Linked DNA regions of Mus musculus: all the other regions are reported to be linked to region 1. Evidence: microRNA targets listed by miRTarBase, many of them from high-throughput screens and not tested one by one. Region 1 holds a microRNA gene; each other region holds the end of a gene's coding sequence.

Region 1 (4,122 bases):
ATCGCTGGCTGTTTCTTCTCAGTTCTCAGGAACTGATTTCTGAATAACAGATTTTTGTTGTTTCTTTCCTTGTAGAGACCTAAAGCCAGAGAATATCCTCCTTGATGATCATGGTAAGAGAGCCTTCCATGCTTAAGTGTAGGCTTGTCAGAAAAGCTAATGTGGACATAGTCAGTTAATAACGCAGACTGGAAACAATAACTAAAAGAAACTCTTTGGGATGTGTTCTTTAAAACACACACACACACACACACACACACACACACACACACACAAAAACCAATTGACATTGCCATCACCAGTACTTACACAAAAGCAGAGACTCCATATATTAATGATTAATGTTTTGAAGTAGGTGAAAATAAACCCCAAATGAGTATTTGCCCTCCTGTTTTTTGCTATTGACTCTATTTATTTTTATTCCTTAGCCCTCTAAACTTGGCGTGCTGCCCTCTATGCTGTCCCCTTATCATATATCAATTGTCACAGAGTGGGGGTGTAGAATGCTGTTATGGGGACTGGTCATGATGTGATAGCTCCTTATCAGCATCATGGGTGCCTCTGACATTGGTATCTCTGGATCTGAGAGTGAGCCCTATTGCTAGGATGCTGGTTGTATGTACACTAAGTAGGTTAGCAATTTGAGAAGGAGCTTATGATTAGTGATTCTTAATAGCTAAAAGGATCTTTCTGTGGAGTAGGAAACATAAACCAGAGCCAGAGTGATTCCTGGAAAGAATAGGCTAGTGTAGCTCATTACTGAAGGCAAACATGGGACATTATCAGACTTAGCTTTTATATTTACTTCTGCCACTGCTTTCTGCTCGTTACCTAACTTATGTACTGACCCCAATGAAGAAGAAAGGTGCTTGAAATTTCATTTATGGAATAATTAAGAAGTAATTTGACTGCTTCCAACTCTTAAACTTGTGATTTGTGCTGGGTTATGCTGCACTGGTATCTAGAGTTGGCATTGAAGGGAAGTGAACAAATTATATTGAAATACATTGAGTAGTTTACTAGGTGTCTTATGAGGGTAAGTCTAAATCCTATGATAGGGGTCCTTAGAAGAACACTTTCCATAATTAGTTACTTTCATAGGACTGTAGCCAACATTTATGCCTTCCTATACCCAAAACATTTGAACAGTACAGTTCTCTAAGTGAAGTAGCTTAACTGATAGTTATGAGTAAATAATAAATATGGTTCCTCTGGTTTTTATCTAGTGGTGATTTACTGTTAAAGGGCTTCTTTAGGTATAAATATAATTTCTTGCTGTTAGTGAAACTCAGTGTGCTATATGAAAGTACATTACATATGTAAAAGTTAAATATAATTTTTAGATATTGCTATTTTTAATACATTTTTGTGTGTTTTTATCACTAGGGATAGAATCACAAGCCTTATATATCATATACAAGGGTTTTATTACTGAGGTATATCCCCAGCCCTCATCAATACGTTTTAGATGGACTTTGCCTCGCAGTTATAAATTGTCACTAAAATGTTACTTTTCCCAATGATCTGTACTTTGTGTGTGAACCTGCACAGGACACATCCGAATTTCAGATCTTGGTCTAGCTATGGAAGTCCCAGAAGGGGAGATGGTACGAGGAAGAGTTGGTACTGTTGGCTACATGGGTAAGTGAAAGATGACTTTGGTGGACCTTATCCATACCTTCTAGGTGTCCTAGGGCTTAGAACCTAGAGGGAAGACTTAGCTTTTAATTTACTTTAAGTGTATGAACCTCATTAAGCCATAACAATAATGCTACATTAAAACATTAATTTAAAAAATATTTATATTACATTTATTTATTATTATGTGCATGTATCTGTACATATGAGTACCTAAGGGAGTGCATGTAAAAGTCAGACAACAATTCAAGTGGGTCAGTTCTCTGCTTTCACAAAATTCAATTAGTCAGGCTTGAAGGCAAGCACTTTTACCCATTGAGCCATCTTTCCTGCCCCTAAAATAGCACTTAATAAAGCTAATTATCACTCTGATACTTTATAAACAAACACAACAATTCAGTCTTCCTGTTGGAAAACAACAATTAGCTCTAAGTTTAATTAAAAAAACAAAACAAAACAAGATTTTGGGGGGTCAGGGGAAGCTGGGCATGGTGATCTATGGGATTAAAGGTGAGCACTACCACACACATCTAATAGACATCTCTCCCCTGCCTTTATTGTTATTTTGAGACAGGGTTTCTCTGTGTAGCCCTGGCTGTCCTGGAACTTACACTGTCGACCAGGCTGGCCTGGAACTCTGTCTCTGCCTTCTGACTGCTGGGATTAAAGGCTTGTGCCACTATCTCTGGCTTCTTTCCTTACTTTTATTAAACAGATTCTTTTCTCATACAGTATAATTTAAATACAGTTGAATACAGTTCCCTTCCCTCTGCTCCTCCCACTTGTTCCCCACTCTTCTCCATCCAGATATACTACTCCCTGTTTGTCTCTCATTAGAAAAGAACAGGCTTCTGGGAGATAACAAAACATAACAAAACAAAATATAATAAGATAAAATGAAAACTATCATATTGAAGTTGGACAAGCTAAGCCAACAGAAAAAAATGAAAGAGGCCCAAGAGAAGGCACAAGAATCAGAGACCCACTTGTTTACATATTCATAAATTTCATAAAAGTACTAAACTGAAAACTTTTATTTATATATATGCATATGTGCATGTATTTATTTATATATTTATAAATATATAAAAGTTATATATTTATATATATTATATATATTCCCCCGCAAAATGCTGGGACTAGATATCATCCAATTGAGTTGTCAACTGAAAGAGTATCATGGAAATCCCTAACAACCCAGGCTGTTACCAAGACAGTAGGTTGCTCTCCACAAACTGACAACAAGGCCTCATTACATTCATATATATACATGAATATACATATATATATATATACATGAATATATATATGTGTGTGTATGTATATATACATATACATGTGTATGTATGTATATATATGTATATATATATACACACACACATATATATATATGCATGCACAAGACCTGGTGCAGACCCATGTAGGCCTTGTGATTGATTGCTGCTTTAATTTCTGTGAGTTCATATGAAATTTGCCCAGTTGTTTTAGAGAACCTTGTTCTCCTGGTGTCCACTCTCTCTTCTGATTCCCCTATTCCTCTGCCTCCTCTTCTGAGGGGTTCTCTAAGCTCTCAGGGGAGGGATTTTATGGAGATATCTGGTTTAGTGCTCTCTCTCTCTCTCTTCTCTCTCTCTCGCTCTGTGTGTGTGTGTGTGTGTGTGTGTGTGTGTGTGTGTGTGTGTGTGTGAGAGAGAGAGAGAGAGAGAGAGAGAGAGAGAGAGAGAGATTTGGCTCTTTGCATTTATTGCCATCTGCTGTAGGAAAAAGCCCTTGTGGTGATGACTGAAAGGCACTGAACTGTGACTATAGCAGAATATCATTAGAAGTCATGTTATTGTTACTAATTTTTTTGACCAGTGATATTTGGTTATACTCTAGGTTTCTATGATATCTAGACTCTGGTTCTTGATGACACAATCAGTGTTGGGTTTGGGTATGGCTATGTAATAGGCCTTACGTCAAATCAGACATAGGCTGATTACCCCCACAGAGTTTGTGTCACCATTGTAGATCTAAGGATTTGTGGTTGAGTTGCTGTTTGCTTTTCTCTTTTGGTACCCTGCAGAATACTTTCCTATGTCATAGGCATTATAAAATGGGAGCAAAGGTCCTATGTAGGCATCAGATTGATCTTTCCATTTTCAATGAGTTGTGTAGGTATTGTCTTCAGCAATGAGCCCTTGTCAATTTGTGGAGAGCAACCAATTGTCTGAGTAACAGCCTGAGTTGTTTGGTGATTTCCATGGGACCTTTTTAGCTAACAGCTCAACTGGATTATACCCAGTCCCAGCACTGGAAGCTTCATTTAGTGACAAGACATGGCAATTAAGAGTTCTGACTCCCTCATTATTTGGAGACTTCATTTGGATTGCCTTCATATAGTTAGTTTTTACTGCACTAGATTTCCATACTGCCCCACAAATAATCTCCAATTCTTAATGTCTTTCCCCTTGATAACTTTCTTCTATCCCATCTTCCCTGTCC
Region 2 (4,122 bases), not on the chromosome of region 1:
GGGTGGAACTGCCCCAGCTTCTATTCTCCTCCGCTTGCTCAGGAGGGCCACGCTAGCTGTGCACTCCTTCATTTATATTTCCTAGTGTTACCACAAGTGTCTCTAACTCAGATTTTATAACCTTTATAACAGACATCATCTCTAATTGCCTTCTCAGAGTCTCAAGGGTGTTTTGAATTTCCTGTTAACCAATCTAAAAATAATCTCTTAATTTTTTTTTTACTTTAAAACTTGTGATTTTTACCCCCCCCCAAAAAGGTTTTAAAGGTTCCCAAAGACATAGTTAACAGATTTCCCCCATTCTTCCCAAACAGAGAACTCCCTCAACTTTATAGCATTAAATGCACTTTGGAAAGTTCCTTGCAGTTTTATTATTCCAGGTGCACTGCTACCATAAGAGGCCTTTGTGGTCCATGGCTATAAATGTCATTTGTTCCCATTAAGCAAATGTATTATATAGAAGATGATTGTCTAAATTTATGGTGACTATTCTAGAGGGCACTAAATCGGGAAATATATCAAAATACCTATTTTAAAAAGTCAATCCCCATAATTTGAAGACTGGTGCCCCCCCCCCAAGCTCAATATAATATAAGCATGTTATATGACTGTGAGATCCATCAAAAGAGATGCAAGCAAGCAAACTTGGCAGCTATCAAAAAAAAAAAGCAAATAAAATGCAGAGCTTTGTCAATTACTTGGTTATCATAAGTGAAATCTGAAGAAGTGATTTATTGATGTTTCATCCTATATAAGTCCATATTCTTTCTCTCCCTTCATCTCTTTTCCTCTAGAGAACAAGAGTCTCTCTTCATTGCCCTGGCTTGCCTTGAACTCTTGGGCTTAAGTGATCTTCCAGCCTCTCCCCTCCATGAAGTTGAGATTACAGCATGGAGCGATTGTCCAAGTCTTTTTCCTTTTTAAATTAACAACAAAGGAAAGCACTGAGAAGATAAATGAACAGAAGTGATTTATTATATCAAATGTGCTTAGCAAAAATAGGAACTTGAAATAAGTAAAGGCATCCTGTCTCTTTTCAGTGGAAATGGAGTTTACATATTAGTTCCTGAGTTTGAAAATAATTTAGTGCCCTCTAAATTTAGTAATATTGTATTCAATCCTTTAAGAGAGAGGTCTGTAGACTTCATTTTATACTTTGCAACGCACCGCATTGCCACCCTTGCACAGTGCCAAAATTAAGGTGGAGGAGCCATTTTGACCTTGATCACATGGGACATATGGAGACCACATGGGACATATGGCAGCCTCATAAAACCTGTTCTGCTTTGGGCCATTGACCCTTAGCTAGGAAGACTTGAAACAAGAATAATGCCCCCTTGAGGGTGAGTATGTAGGGATGTGTGTGTGTGTGTGTGTGTGTGTGTGTGTGTGTGTGTGTGTGGTATCTTTTGTCCCTCACCCATGGGCTGACCTAAGGCTCTGACTTTTCAGTCTCTCTTCTTTCTGTAGCTGAATGGTGAGAGTAGCTATGCCAAGTACTAAGCTGGACAGTGCTACTGACACGTTGGCCAGTGGGAGCCTGTAAAGAAGTGAAGGAGGAGGGTGCAGTCTGGGGACAGGGATGCCTGCAATGGTGGAGGACACAGAGACAGAAGCAGGCACAAGACCAACACTCCAATTTCTTTAACTCCAAAGAGTCAGCATCTATGGCTGCATCTAGGACCCTCACTTGCTCATGGTGCTGCCTCCAGAGTTCTGAGGCCTCGCCCCATCTGGAAACATAAGAAAGCTCCAGAAAGTCTCAAAGCATGGGGGCTTCAAACCCGTCTACAGTGCCCACTGTGGCTGGGCTCTCACAGGAAGCCACCCTCACCCCAGACATGCTCCTCCTGCTTTTGTTGTGTCAGGTGAGCACTTGCGGATGCCCTCAATGGTGTGCTTCAACTTGAACCCAATATTTTACTCCAGGCATCCATGAAGATAGTGATGGTATGGCAGAGGATCTTGATAAACATGCCTTGAGACGGTGGGCTGCATTATTTCCAATCATGGAGGCCTCCCCCACACCCATGCGTGCTCTTCTCATTTGCATCCTCTCCCTTGCTCATCCCTTGCTTCACTGATAAAAGTGATAGTGTGTATAAAAACGGGCACCCTTTCCAGAACTGTATACTGAGACCTTGTCTTGAAAGTAAATACGCAAACCATCATGATCTAGAAAATATTTATTGATTAATTTTCTTTCTGTAATCCAAGAAATGAACAGAATGCACAAGATACAGTAAAATGCACTTTTCCCGTTTCAAATAAATATCTTCTACTCTTGTAAAAAAATTAATATTCTGCATCATTTGCTACAGTGTATTAATTGATGAAAGAAATCAAGAATTTTCTCTGGTTAGGCTACCACTTATTTTAGAGATTCCTATGAGCATCTCTTCAGAGAATGTTGTTTCTCTGTAAAATTACATCAACTTCAAGTTGTTGCTTCTTGATTGCAAAAGAAATACATGAAAACATTAAAAATAAAAACGAAAAACACTCTTTGACAAAGTGTTTTTTGGGAGGGGGGAAAAATCTGAACTTTTGATGAATCAACTATGTGTAAATTCTGTAGTTAATACTTCCGGCAGCCAGACTTACAGAGATTCCTATGTGTCAAACTGGTAATTTCCAAAATTAGTGGTTAACAACTTAAATTAACAGTTATAGATATAGTACAGAACCAAGACGGAATTTAAAAGTTCTGTTGCTGAAAGAGACAAAAGTAATGGTACTGTGTAAGACAATTTTGCCATTTTCAAATATTGTTTTTCATAATATTATAGGAACTGAAATCTACTGAATTATACAGACACGGCACAGACTTATATACATATATATCCCTGATAAGTTTAAGACAACATGTTAGCTCTTACAAGTGTTATTAATAAGATTATTTTAGTAACCAACAAAAATCATATTTAGGTAGTCACCAATCTTGAAAGATTTTTGCATATAATCAAATAACCATCAGAACAATACATCACCAGCTAATAAAGGTCTTTAGCACTAAATCCCTATGTTAGCAGTCAGTGGATAGTTTATAGGTTAGTTAGAGGAGTCAGTTAACCTTCATATCAGCTCCAGTGCCACCATGACGGTTCATTTCTGTGAATGGATGCAGAAATGCTGGTCAAACTGTATCACTGCAAAACATAATTGTGCTCAGAAAAAAAGAAAAGAAAGAAAGCACACACAGTTGTTATAATGTCTGGGTTCGGCATTTTGAAGGGCACCAATTATTGTCTGTGTATTACCATGTGGAACCTTTGTTTTAAAGAGTGGAGAAATTCTTAGACATTCCTTTTCAGAATATTAATATGTCTAAAAATTTCTGAAATAGATAACTGTGTACCCCAAAACCCACTAGTCCCACAAGTTTGTGATTTCCTTCTTTGACATTCTTCATAATTCTTCCATCTCAAAATGTGTATTGAAGCTGTTTGCCATTGATGTATGCTCAAAGATCCTTGAAAGACTTGGTTTTAACAGTTCCACAGAATGACATGACAAGTGCTGAGACGTATCATTTTTCAGAGATAGCATTTGGTCTGTTCCAGGCTCCCTTCTATCATAATACAGAGCCCAGAGCAGAGTAATGGTGAGAATCATGGCCAGGATTTGTGTCACACCAATGGAGATTCCCAGAAACCTTAGAACTTGCAATTGTTTGGTTCCTCTCAAAAAGGAATACATCTTCTTCCCACAACCCTGTAAAAAAGGAAAAGAAAAGAAAAAGAAATAACATAATCAGTGTTAAATTGTCAAAAATAGTGATTTGAAAAAAAGCACAATCTAATCAGTTAGTTAAACTTAGGAAATTTAAAAAACTGACCATTAACCAAGATGTGGTGCTCACCTTGAAAGGCCCTGGTAGCTCATACTGTCCAGCATCTTTCTTTTATTTTCCATACACAGGCACTGGTATAAAACCCAGTGTCTAGAGAACAACTTATTAAATAGTTTGTAATGGTGACTGATTTTTACTTGAGTAACATAATATAACCTTGGGTATGTAGGTTTTTTAATAGCTACGCCAATAAAATATTTACTTATAATAAATCATAAAGAAATGTATTTTAAAACAGTTCTTTGAGACTAGAGAGGTATCCCATCTGT
Region 3 (4,122 bases), not on the chromosome of region 1:
TTGATAAGTGATGATGATTATTCTAATTCTCTATTTCAAGTGACTCTTTCTTTTTGGGGAGGAGGACTTGTACCAAAGATTTAAATTTTAGGATAATCAAATCACCGTTTCCACTTATATCTGCTTCCTTTATTTGAATATCATTCAGTTGTACGAATGAAAAGATTTCACTATGAGACTTCCATAGATGCATATAATGTATGTACTTTGATACTGTGTTGACCTTTCTCTCTTTATAAAAAGGTTTCTTTATCTTTATTTTATGCAGATGCATGTTTCGCTGGTGTGAATGTATGTACTTCACGTGACCTCAATGCCTGAGGAGTCAGAAGAAGGTACAGGATTCCCTGGACCTGGAGTTACAGGAGGTTGTGATATACTCCACAGGGGCTGGAAATTGACTTGAACCTGGGTTTTCTGCCTGGACAAGTACTCTAAATGGCTGAGCCATTTCTCAATTTTTTTTAGCTCACAGTTTACAGTCCATCGTGGGACAGTCAAGGCATGCGGATGGAAAAGTCAAGACAGATGCGTTACATAACATTTGCAGTCAGGAACAGAGGGAAACACATACATACTTGCTTCCTTGTGCTCAGCTTTATTGCTCCGCCCTTACACAGTTCGGGACTCATAGTACTGCCCATAGTGGGCTGGGTCTTCCCATATCAATAATGTAAATAAGATAACCCACCATAGACGTGTCCACCTGTCAGCCTTACATAGATAATCAGTCCATCACTGAGACGTTGCAGGTGATTCTAGGTTGTGTCAGGTTGACAAGTGAAGTTTACTATTACATCATCCATGCTGTTGCTGGGAATTTTTTGTTCTTTTTTCATTATTTCTCCTCCTCTTCCTCCTCCTCTTCTTCCTCATTATCCTCTCCTTCATTTTCCTCTTCCTTCTGCCCTTCTTCCTCTTTCTCCTCTCTCTCCTCTTTCTCCTCCCCTTCCTCCTCCTCCTCCTTATTTGTGATCCAGTGCTTCTGTTGTAAGAGTTACAGCTACATTATGTTTAAGCGACTTCTGGTATCCATGAATTTTACTAATTTACATTGTTACCTCTTACATCACAGTCTTTCACTGCCCCATATGAACTCGATTATTTTGTTAAGTTGGGAAAAAAACCCAACTCATTGTTTGCTATAACATTTTTTATCACCATTCCAAAAACATACAGGAGAACAGTAACCCTTTTTATGAAACTCTGTGCATTCCAAACTCAACAGGAACATCTTACATTTCTTCTTGTGTACATCCAAACTATTATTTTTTTGAAATTTAAAATTTCAAGTCAACCCAACACATCATAGATATTTCAGTATGGGTCTCTAAGATATGATCATTTAGGTTGAGTGTGGTGATGCACTCCTACATTCCCAGCACCCAGGGTGTGCAGCTAGCAGGATCCAAGTTCCAGGTTAGCCTGGACTACATCGCAAAACCCTCTATCAACTCTGAAAGAAAGGGGAGAACTGAATTTGTCATTGTCACACCTAATCATCTGCCTCTGTGTTTGCTTTTTGTTGTTGTTGTTGTTTTTGAGACAGGGTTTCTCTGTGTTGCCCCGGCTGTCCTGGAACTCACTCTGTAGACCAGGCTGGCCTCGAACTCAGAAATCCGCCTGTCTCTGCCTCCTGAGTGCTGGGGTTAAAGGTGTGCACCACCATGCCCGGCTGTGTTTGCTTTCTATTTTCCTTATTGTTCTAAAAATGACTTTGTGGGGCTGGAGTGATGGTTCAGCAGTTAAGAGCTCATACTGCCCTTGCAGAGGACTCTAGTTTGCCATCCTCCATGCTGGGTGGTTTATAACCTCTTTAACTCCAGACCAAGAAGATCTGATACCCTCTTCTATCCTTTCTGGGTATCTGCACTTACAGGCACACACCTCTACACAGACACATAGACATGCACATGATTAAAGATACATTTTTTAAATGAGTTCAAGCAGTTTTCAGAACCAAGTCCATACACTGACACTCCCTGCATGGTTGCAACATCCTTAGATTCCTTTATTCCAGAATAAACATTTTAGCTCATTTCTGCCTGCCTCCCATTCTCCCCTTCTGTAATTTCTGCTTGAGCAAACAGATGAATGTCTACTTAGTGTGGCTAGAAGCCCTTCCTTGTGGTATCTTTCAGCTTCCTGCATCACTTGAGGAGGAGTCTATACCTGGCTTACCCATTTTTTTTTTATTTTTATTTTTTTTTATTTTTTTGAGACAGGGTTTCTCTGTATAGCTCTGGCTATCCTGGAATTCACTCTGTAGACCAGGCTGGCATCAAACTCAGAAATCCACCTGCCTCTGCCTCCCTCCCAGTTTACCCATTTTTAATGTTGTTCAGACAAACTGCAGTATTTCAGCCAGAACACCTCAATCCTCTCATCGTAAAGCCATGTTTCTCCACACAAGGACACGTTGTATAGCATGGGATGATGAAATGACACCCTGTAAACAGCAGGAAGCTGTGGATGGCCGGTGCCTGTGGCGACAGCTTAATTGAGATTGCAAATTCTAGAGGGTTTAGATTGTAGTTATATATGAACGATGTTGATCAGGATGGACATCCTTGCCTTGTGAACACTTGGTGTTTGCAGAAAAGCAGGCATATATATGCATTGTATTCTATATGCAATATGTAAGAAATTACACACACACACACACATGCGTGCACACACACGCACATATTTTATATATTCTCTAGTACTTTAATACACAAACAAAATGTATTTAGATCATCTCTCTCATTTCTCCCTCCAAGTCCCCCTGATTCCTCTCCACACTTCCCTCTCAATCCCAATTCCTCTCTCTCTTAAAAATAACCCACTGAATCTAATTAGTGTGCCCATACACCCGTGGGTGTGCAGTACCATCCACTGGGGCACTGGCACCCCACCACGGGCCACACCACTGAGGAACGATGACTCTGCCCCCTCTAGTGGCCGTCAACAGACATGGCTCCTCTACTAAGGGTGACTAGACTGATCTGTGCAGGTCTTGTGCTGGCTACAACAGTTGCTGTGAATTTATGAGTACAGCGGCCCTGTCATGCACAGAAGACATTATCTGTGCCAATCTTCCAGGCTTTTCCTAGATGTTCTCTGAGCTTGGTGGTGGTGGTGGTTGCTGTGTGATACAGGTGTCTCACTTAGGGATAAATAATTCACAACTCCAGAGTCACTTTGTTTTACCTTTGGCCAGCTGTAAAGGCATATCTTTTTTTAAAAAAATCGTATTATGGACAATTTTATCCTATTTATTCAGATTTGTAAAAAATGTCATATAATAAAGTTTAATAGTTTTTCCAAAAAAATGTATATTTCCAGAATTATTCATGCATGTATATGTACATACATATACATACACACACAAACACACAAACAAACATACACACACACACACACACATACACACACACATAATATTGAACAAGGATTTTTTTTTAAACTATTAAGTTGTATTAGTCTATTTGGACCACTGTAACAAATTACCATAGACTGAATGGCCTATAAACAACATTTATTTCTCAGAGTTCTGGAGGTTGGGGAGTCCAAGATCAAGGTGCCCAGAGATCCAGTATCTGGAAAGGCCTGGTTTCTGGTCTTTGTATCTTCTTGCTGTGTCCTTCCACGGTGGAAGCAGTCCTCTGAGGCCATTTTTATGAGATATCACACCTTACTCTGAGGGATCTGTCTACAAAAGAGGAGGAGAACCCGCTGAAGAGGGATGCTCACACTGGGGACAGGCTGGATGGATAGGCTGTTCCTTCTTTTGCACACAAGGACTCGGAGACCAGGTTGCCCACGGGCTGCCCGTTTCTCCCATACTTTAAGCCTGTGGACCCCCGGGGCAGGTGCTAGGTGACAGCAAGTTTAGAGGAGGAAAGGACAGAGTGGGACTTGTGTGAGCAGTCCTGGGAGGAGGGAAAGCCCAGGGGCTTTCACCTGATTCTGCTTGGTTGACATCCCTGTCACGCCTTCCCCTTTGTACAAAGGAGACGGTCAAGGCCTCTGGTCTCTGAGATCCCATAAGCTCACCCCAGTCTCTCTGCCCCTTGACTCCAAGAATCGCTCGCTCTTCCATGCTTCCAGGAGACAGAGACTGGGGAGGTGGGAGGGCCG
Region 4 (4,122 bases), not on the chromosome of region 1:
GTGACTTCTAGTAGGTTCTTCATTTGTCAAAGTTGTTACTGTACTCCTAATGTACTCTATATGAACAAAAGGACTGTATTCTGTGATCCTTTAGTAAATTCACAAAGGGCAGGCATTAATTCCTGTTTGTTTGTTTTTTGTTTTGTTTTTGTTTTTGTTTTTTGTTTTTTCCAGACAGGGTTTCTCTGTGTAGCCCTGGCTGCCCTGGAACTCACTCAGTAGACCAGGCTGGCCTCCAACTCAGAAACCCGCCTGCCTCTGCCTCCCGAGTGCTGGGATAAAAAGCGTGCGCCACCACGCCTGGCTGTTTGTTTATAAGATTTATTTATTTGATGTTAGTACACTGTAGCTGTCTTCAGACACATCAGAAGAGGGTATGGGATCTCACTACAGATGGTTGTGAGCCACCATGTGGTTGCTGGGAATTGAACTCAGGACCACTGAGCCATCTCTCCAGCTCCCTAATTCCTGGTTTTATTTAGTTAATAAAATACCCTGATCTTTGTTACCTTTGCAAACTAAGGACCAACGATCAACTACCTGTAGGAAGAAGTCCTACTGAAAAGTGGAATTTCAGTTCCAAAATTTTACATGACAGTTACTTGAACATGTGTGCACTAAGAGTATAAATTGTGCACTAAACTGGACGGTGCCTATCCTGGCCACAGTCACCCGCCAGTGCCCCAGATACTATACTCTTCTTGTATTTTGTGTTCATGCTGAGAATTGAAGAACATCTCCCTTGCTCTGGAGCCGCTGAAGACCAGAAGCCATGCTGTGGCTGTGGTTTCAACACAGCATCTGAAACTGAAGCACGGTAGCTTTGAACATTCTTGTCACTTTTAAGGTTAAAAATTAAGGTTAATGTTCTCCCCCAAATTTTTCTCAGACTGGTGTTGGACTTGTTAGTTACGACTCTTGTCAGCTCAAAGGGGAAATTCTTATTTAAACTCCATGTGTTTATTTATTCATTGATTTCCATGTATTTAGGTATTTTAGGTAGTTAGTAGTATGATACCTTATGACTTTTCAGACATCCTTACTGTTTCTTTAAAGATGCTTTTAACAGACTATCTGTACAAGCAAAATAGGCTACCTACCAAGTAAGACTTCTGTGGCTTTGTACCATCAATACTCATTAGCAGCCATCATAGGGAATAAAATTCATCTTTACAAAGGCAGAGAAATAATTATTAAACTGTGCTTAGAGGACTACCCAGGGAGAAGAAAAATGTAATAATTTATCCAACAAGAGCAGCTGACAGCCAACCGGGCCTTATTACTTGCCACGTAATTCACCCTGTGGTCTGTCCTTCTACCTCTAGGCTGGGAATTACCTGGAGTTCACTTGCTTAGCCAGAAGCGGCAGGAACTTCAGCAGCAGCAGGGAATGAATAAAAAGCCATGGCCCTGCTTCTTCTGCAGCTAGACTGACGGATGCACTTTCTAACTTCTAGTACCAAATTTTCTCTGATGGGTTATTGTAGCTCTTTGTATTCTATATTAACTGTATCCCCTCAAAACTGTTTGCACAAGAGGGTCTGCATGTAGCTTCTGGGGACCTGCCCCCAGTTAACTGTGATTGGTAATTAAAGATGCCAGCAGCTAATAGTTGGGGAGACAAGAAAGAGGATTGGGGTTTCCAGGGCTTGGGACCTGGAGGAGGAGGAAGAGCAGAGCAGCACTGCCTGAGAGTGAGGGCCAGAGAGGCAGAGCTACCGTGTAAAGGTCAGGGGCAGCCAAGATGGAACATAGGAACTAGTAAGTAGTAACTTGGAATTATCGGTGGGAGGTAGAGTCTAACACCATGGAGGGTAGGCAGTTGACCAGCTATTGTGCTCCTTAAAGCATATTAAAATATAAAGGTTGTGTGTGTGTCTTTCATTTGGGAACAAAAACCATTGAGGTGGGAAACAACCTTGTGTAGGGATATATTAAAAATAATACTCCTACAGGTTACATTATATAAAAAGAGTTCAATAACATTTATATATATATATATATAAAATTTATATATATATACATATATATATATATAAATTTACTGCTTTATTTTAAATACTTTATTTGACAAGAATCAAGAGTTTCTGGAAGTCCTTTTCTTCCTCTCCTAAGGAGAGCTGACCTCCATTTCCCAGAGAGGAGAGCAGCAGGACTTCGTGCTTTGGAGTGTGGGACACCCTTTACTGGAATTTGCGGATATGATGTCGCAGGGAGTTCTATAATCTTTCTGACAGCTAGACACAGGATCACCTATGGGGTCTTCACAGCATCCCGGCCAGGCATGTTCCTCATACTGGTAGAAACAGCTCCTCCATACCCAAGGGCACAAAGGAAAAATTATTTAACAGTGGAACAGACCAGTACAGTAAAAGCCCAGACAACACAGAGGAGTCCAGGAACATAGCTGGAGGCAAAGAATGCAGGCTTGCACAGTTTCCAGGGGCATCTACAGAGCACCTTTCTACTCTGTGTGCTTTCTACTCCCAAGAGATTAGCAGACACAGAAATCCTAAACACACAGCCGTTTCCCTGGTCGGGGCGTGATCGATTGATCGATTGCCCACATGTGGACTCCTGGCTTATATGCCATTTGAGAGTGTTCAAGTTTTGTGAGAGACAGGTTATGATTCATTTGGAAATCCACGGAAGCACTCAATGAAAACCCACCATTTTCTTAAAAAACAAAAAACCCTCCACCCTGCCTTTTAAATAACCAGTAGAGGCTGATGCAGGGCAGAGTCCAGCCCTGGTGTGCTGTGCATGTCCCTTGTTGCACACTGACGACACTGTGAGAGACTCTCCCCTCTTAAGTCATTTACAAAGTGCTTAGCGTGTCACTTGCTCGCCACCCTCAGTCTGTAAAGTTTCCTCGTTGGCTGGGCATGATTTTGAAGTTATTGCTGATGCTAGAATCTCACAAAGAAAAACAGTCCCCAAATGCATCCAAGTGGGGGAAAAAAATCGCATGACGCAAGCGTCAAAGGGAGCTTCCCTGCCACAGCCAGCCCTCTGATGAGAAATGCTCCGCTAATTCTGCCCTTTATTAGTGAATGAGCACAGACTAAAGGCACAAGCTGCACCAGCAACCAATGAGCTGGGAACCAGCCAATGAGCTGATGGGAAGCTGGGAGCTCTGTACACATCAACCTGCACCAGAAGATTCCTGGTGGGGGAGAAGCAAGTGACAGGGATGCTTGCTAGGAAGATGACATCTCGGGGAAGGTCTGGCTAACCCTAGTTAAAGTGCGAGCAGTTTCACACACCTGCTCTTAGGTCCCGAGGAAGGGTAGCAGCATGAGGCACCAGTCCTACAAGGTGGATCTGAGCTGTGCAGCCAGAGGCGTGGTGCTGAGCTCAGCCCCAGTCCCGAACAAGTCAGCAATGACTCCCTCAACGCAGCAAGTTCTCCCTTTTGGAATCTCTCCTCCACCGCCTCTCCCATCTGGAAAGCGTCAGTGTGGGCTGAATACATCTCTGGTGCTGAAGCTGAGGCACTAAGGATGATGGGGCTCTGCTTCTGGGCAGGAATGCGGGCTCTTCACTTGATCATCTGGGTCTCCTCATCTGCATCATAGAACTCTTCCTCCTCCTCACTCTCACTGCTGACCTTGTCCAGGGGCTGCAATGGCAAAGGAGATCTTGTAGAAGTGATCATGACAGGCCTTAATGAGAATTACCACCCAGGCACTCACAGTGCAATTTTGCTGTTGTTTTGAGACAGGGACCCATGCAGACCAAGTTAGCTTCCAATTTTCTAAGTAGCTGAGATCACCTTCTGATCTTCCTGTCTCTACCTCTCTAGTGCTAGGTTTACAGGGGTGTACCACCACACTCAGGTTTAGATGGTTCTGGGGATCAAACCCAAGGGCACCTAGATGGTTACAGCATGTGTCTCTATACCTGTGGAGGATCCAAGGTCTGTAGAGATAGCGCTTCCTCTCCTAACCTCCTATATGAGTACATTTGAAGATCAGAAAATGTCTCCAGCAAAGGGCTGTTCAGAGTCTCTGGCAATAGCAGGCTCAGGAGGCCTGAGGTCAGGCCTGTGGCTCCAAACACGATGAAGGGCAGAGACCACTGTACTTCCTTCTGTGGAGACAGGAAGTGGAACAAAACCAA
Region 5 (4,119 bases), not on the chromosome of region 1:
TCCACACACAAACTGCATGCAAACACACTATATATAATGATACGACATGGACTGGTGAGATGGCTCAGTATATAAATGTGTTTGCCACTACGCTTGACAATCTGAATTTAATCCCTTGGAATCCACGTGGTAGAAGGGGAAAAACCAACTCCCAAAAGTTGTCCACTGAGTCCCACAGGTACTCACACACATGCTCACACACATGCACAGAGAAATAAATTATAAATAAACAAATGTCATAATATACAAAACACAAACACCTCACATAGATACCACACGTATCCCACAAGCAACACACATGCCACATGTACAGACACCCCAGGCCCCAATAACTCTGTTGCTTATTCCAGAGAGCACTCGATACATGAGAATTGAACTGTTTGAAAATAAAAAAGGAACACCCTCCCTTCCCCACTCCCACCACCTCCCAGTATGTGAGAAATCAGAAGAGGCTTATGTGGTCTGTCATGGACAATCTTTGTGGTTTCTTTCACCCTAGAAGCTTTTACATCTAGTAAACAACAGAGAAATTCTAGGCATGGTCAGAAGGTTTTTGAAATAAGGTGGCTCCTTCCAAGGGTATCCCTCTACCCCCAGTTCTTTGCAAGTTTCTCACAGCATATGTATGTAGTTAGTTTTGCATTGGGGGAAAGGCTCAGATAAGCCCTGGTGAGCCATGAACCCCAAGGGCTCCCCCAGATCCCTTCAGGTGTACCCACAGAGTCACTTCACTACATTCCCTCCTTATACAGCAGAAGTGGGCTCTGGGAATACCCAGTGTCTTGTCTTTAAGCACAAGACACAAGCCAGCTTCTTCTCCCTGGCATCCCCGGATGCCATCTTTCCTTGCCCTCTGCTGCCCTGATGCTTCAGTTGGCCTTGGGTGGGAGGCCTGCTTCTCCAGACCCTCCCTGGGTCAGGGCAGTCCCAAGTCTTGCAAGCAGTGTGCCTACCTTGACTGGGTCCTGGCTTGAGGGCTGGAGGGCTGGGTAGTTGGAACACACAGCGGGGAGCCACTGGCTCCTGGGCTTACTCTATCTGGCTCCCTGATCACAGCCCCTTTTATGAAGTCTGAATGAGTGACGTCTCCAAGCATAATCCCACCTCTGCCCTCCCGGACCCTCCTCAGGGCTCCACGCCCTGCCTCTGGCTTCTGCCTCCAGGCTCTCAAGTCTGGAGCCAGCGATTTCTTCGCCCCCAGAAATCACCAAGACTGCTTTCATAAGCTCACCAATTCTTCCATCATCTCTAGCCTCTTGACACCCCCTCCCTCACAGCGGGGGACTCATTCCACCCCAAACAACGAAGAGAAAGTGGCTGAGCAGTGTGTATATGTGAAATGTCTTGTCCTTCTCTTCCAACACACACACACACACACACACACACACACACACACACACACACTGAAGTAAATTTGATGACGACACAGGCTGGAGGAGGAGGAGCAAGGCACAGTCTGACCCAGAGGCTCCTCAGTGCCCACATGAAAGAAAGCCAGGTCAGATTGGCCTCCACCAGAGGTGGCTCCTGTACTGTGAGCTGAGACCGGGGGTGGTGCCCAGGGTTCTCCTCCCCTCCCTTTCCCACTAATTACTGAGCATCTGCAGACACAGGGGTTTGACAAGCATGTGATATGACACGGCCAGATGTGCTGGGCAGTTATATAAGCAGCTGGCTGTTAGGAAGGAGGGCAAAGCTGGTCATAGCAGCCCACACATGTAATTCTACCTCCTGGGTGGTTGAGACGGAAGGATGGTAAGTTTAGGCCAGTCTGGGATGCCCAGAGAGCTCTAGACCAGGATGGGTAACAGAGTGAGAGCTCGTCTCAGAGTCAGGCATGGTGGCACATTCCTCCAATCACAGCACTTGGGAGGTATAAGGCAGGCGGAGCTTTGAGTCCATGGACAGCCTGTTCTACATAGTGGGGGCCTCTCTCAAAAATAAAATAATTATAATAATACAGAACGAAGGGAGGGAGAGGGAATGGCTATTTTGTATTTGCTGTTACTGAGCTGGCTTTGAGACAGCAGATGTGGAGAGTGGGTAGCTCTCAGTGCTTGAAGGGCAGAAACAGGCTTCCCCACCATACATAGATCATATACACACACACACCTTAAGGGCAGGAGCAAGCCTCTGTATCATTCATATATGTATGTGTATATGTGTATATATATAGATATACACATATACACATATATACATAAATACATATATCATATATACCTTAAGGGCGGGAACAGGCCTCCCTATCATATATACATCATATATATACACCTGACACCTACTCCACTGCTAGGTGTAAACAGAAGGGGCTCAATAGATGCTCACAGTGACTCTGGTCTTTCCTTTTCCTTTCTTCCTTCGAGGTTTTTGTTGTTGTTGTTGTTTGGATTTGATTTGATTTGATTGATTTGAGACAGGGGCTTGCTGTAGCCTTGTCTGGCCTTGAGCTCGGAGATGTTTGATTCTGCTTCCCAAGTGTTGGGATTACAAGTGTGTGCTACCAAGGCCTGGCCTATGCTCTTTCTTCCGTCTACATGGTTAAGCCAGTCTACTGCATCATACATATAATCCTACATTCAGGACAATTGAGGCAGGATGATTGTGAGTTCCAGGCCAACCTAAGACCTTGTTTCAGAAAAACAAAAGAAAAGAAAATCTCTTTTTACCATGAGATCAGGGGCTCCCCCAGAACGAGGACCAGCTCCTGTGAGGCTGGATTCTCTGAGTGGCACCACCCATCCCCAGCACAAGGCTGTTACTGCTCCAACTCTATCTGTTGTGCCCTGTGGGGGAAATGGTCACCTCATGGCTGCGGTAGTCTTCCTGATGCTACGTGGGGCCGGTTCCCATAGTTGCCTAATGTTAACTAAGGCTTAGAGTCACATCAAACCCTTCAGGATGTTCAGTGCCAGCATGAACCATGGACCAAGGACAGGGTCTGACTCTTAGCGCTTTGGTAGCATCTTGTGGGATCAGGGTTGAGGGTGGTGTTGCAGGCCTGCCCTAAGGCTGGGATGGATACCTCAGGCTGCAGACATCAACGCCAAATCTCAGATACATTCACAGCTTGGGGATTTAATCTTCACTCTCCTGCAGAAAGTCAGGGTGGGAATTTTTTCGTCCAGCCCTAGATGGGTATCATGGCCAGGATCTCTGCTCCTGGCGGCCTCTTGAGATGACTCGAGGGTTTAAGATCGATCACTCAGCTCCATCTTTCTTCTGGACTTGGAGATGCCCGTGTGTCATGGTAAGTAAGTCAGTGCTGGGGAGGGGCTCATGAAGATAGCCCCCGTTTCCCTTCCAGCCCCCCCACCGACAGTCCAAGTTCAAGGCACTCGCCTGGGCACTTCAGACCATTGAGCTGGAGGAGCCCTGAAGCTTCTGGAACAGCTGTGGGAACCAAGAATCATTATTCCAGACAAAGAGTGGGAAGCAGACTCAATCTCCAGGCTATTACCCAGCTGGCCTTGAGATGCAGGCTTATGCTACGCTACTACTTGAGGAGAGTGGGGGGCGGGGTGTGCCCAGCTGGCAAGCGATCCAAGCCGTGTGCTCCGGCCCCTCCCTGGGTGTCTCAGTGTTCTCTTGTGAGGTACTTCAGAGATGGGTGTGGAGCCCAGAACAGGCTCTGCTCCCTGCTTTTTCTTGATGTCACCAGCTGCTATCTATGCCTGTAGCCCAGACTTAAGCAGGTATAGCAGAAATCTCAGGTATGTATTGGCTGGGTCACATAGAGTTTTTATTTCTTTGCTTGGGGAGCTATTAATGGCTGCCGCCTCTCCACCCATGCCTTAGCCATGGACTGGGGGTGGTGGTGGGATGGTAGGGGTGGGGGTGTCTCAAAGGATATGGGGGAGGGGTCTACTGCACCTAGGGTAGCACCTTAGTCAGCTGCACGTGCTCGCCCACCCCAGACACCACTGCCAAGCCTGAGATCTACTCACTGTGCTCAGGAAGGGGATGTTAAACGCACTGCCCAGGAAGCCAAAGACGACAGGGAAAAAGCCCCTAGGAATAGAAGAGAGGACAAGGGGTCAGTGGTGGCCTAGGAGAGGAGGGATAAGGCAGTTCCTACTCAAAGGCTCTCCTCTGAGAGCAGCCACTGGGCCCCGGGGC

What was found. Region 1 holds the annotated microRNA mmu-miR-467g (UAUACAUACACACACAUAUAU, at 2,943-2,963, opposite strand). A microRNA usually pairs through its seed, bases 2 to 8, with sites in the 3' UTR of a target mRNA and lowers its output. Matches are read on the target gene's strand: a 7mer-m8 pairs with bases 2 to 8, a 7mer-A1 pairs with bases 2 to 7 and ends in A, and an 8mer does both.
Region 2: miRTarBase lists Tspan12 as a target of mmu-miR-467g. Seed matches in the 3' UTR shown: 8mer at 2,832-2,839.
Region 3: miRTarBase lists Wfdc12 as a target of mmu-miR-467g. Seed matches in the 3' UTR shown: 8mer at 3,357-3,364 and 7mer-m8 at 3,352-3,358.
Region 4: the mRNA of Slc22a15 is a reported target of mmu-miR-467g. Seed matches in the 3' UTR shown: 8mer at 2,019-2,026.
Region 5: miRTarBase lists Golt1a as a target of mmu-miR-467g. Seed matches in the 3' UTR shown: 7mer-m8 at 2,562-2,568, 7mer-A1 at 2,255-2,261, 7mer-m8 at 2,205-2,211, 8mer at 2,196-2,203 and 7mer-m8 at 2,086-2,092.

What each region holds. Positions count from the first base shown.
Region 1 is chr5:34,729,930-34,734,051 of GRCm38, forward strand. It overlaps Mir467g (microRNA 467g), which reads right to left and starts at 3,043; the gene lies at 2,924-3,043. It overlaps Grk4 (G protein-coupled receptor kinase 4), which reads left to right. Exons shown (of 16, transcript NM_019497.2): 10 at 76-113; 11 at 1,552-1,641.
Region 2 is chr6:21,769,223-21,773,344 of GRCm38, forward strand. Tspan12 (tetraspanin 12) reads right to left here. Exons shown (of 9, transcript NM_173007.4): 9 at 2,169-3,714. The coding sequence ends at 3,409. Among named protein-coding and RNA genes, the nearest start is that of Gm30270, 81 kb to the right of the region's middle.
Region 3 is chr2:164,185,990-164,190,111 of GRCm38, forward strand. It overlaps Wfdc12 (WAP four-disulfide core domain 12), which reads right to left. Exons shown (of 3, transcript NM_138684.2): 3 at 3,242-3,694. The coding sequence ends at 3,670. A730032A03Rik (a long non-coding RNA gene) reads left to right here. Exons shown (of 4, transcript XR_003954086.1): 2 at 269-335. Among named protein-coding and RNA genes, the nearest start is that of Wfdc12, 2.5 kb to the right of the region's middle.
Region 4 is chr3:101,856,898-101,861,019 of GRCm38, forward strand. Slc22a15 (solute carrier family 22 (organic anion/cation transporter), member 15) reads right to left here. Exons shown (of 12, transcript NM_001039371.2): 11 at 3,904-4,092; 12 at 1-3,622. The coding sequence ends at 3,542. Among named protein-coding and RNA genes, the nearest start is that of Mab21l3, 23 kb to the left of the region's middle.
Region 5 is chr1:133,320,883-133,325,001 of GRCm38, reverse strand. Golt1a (golgi transport 1A) reads right to left here. Exons shown (of 5, transcript NM_026680.4): 4 at 3,948-4,011; 5 at 1,976-3,393. The coding sequence ends at 3,352. It also overlaps a transcript of Kiss1 not described here. Among named protein-coding and RNA genes, the nearest start is that of Kiss1, 4.3 kb to the left of the region's middle.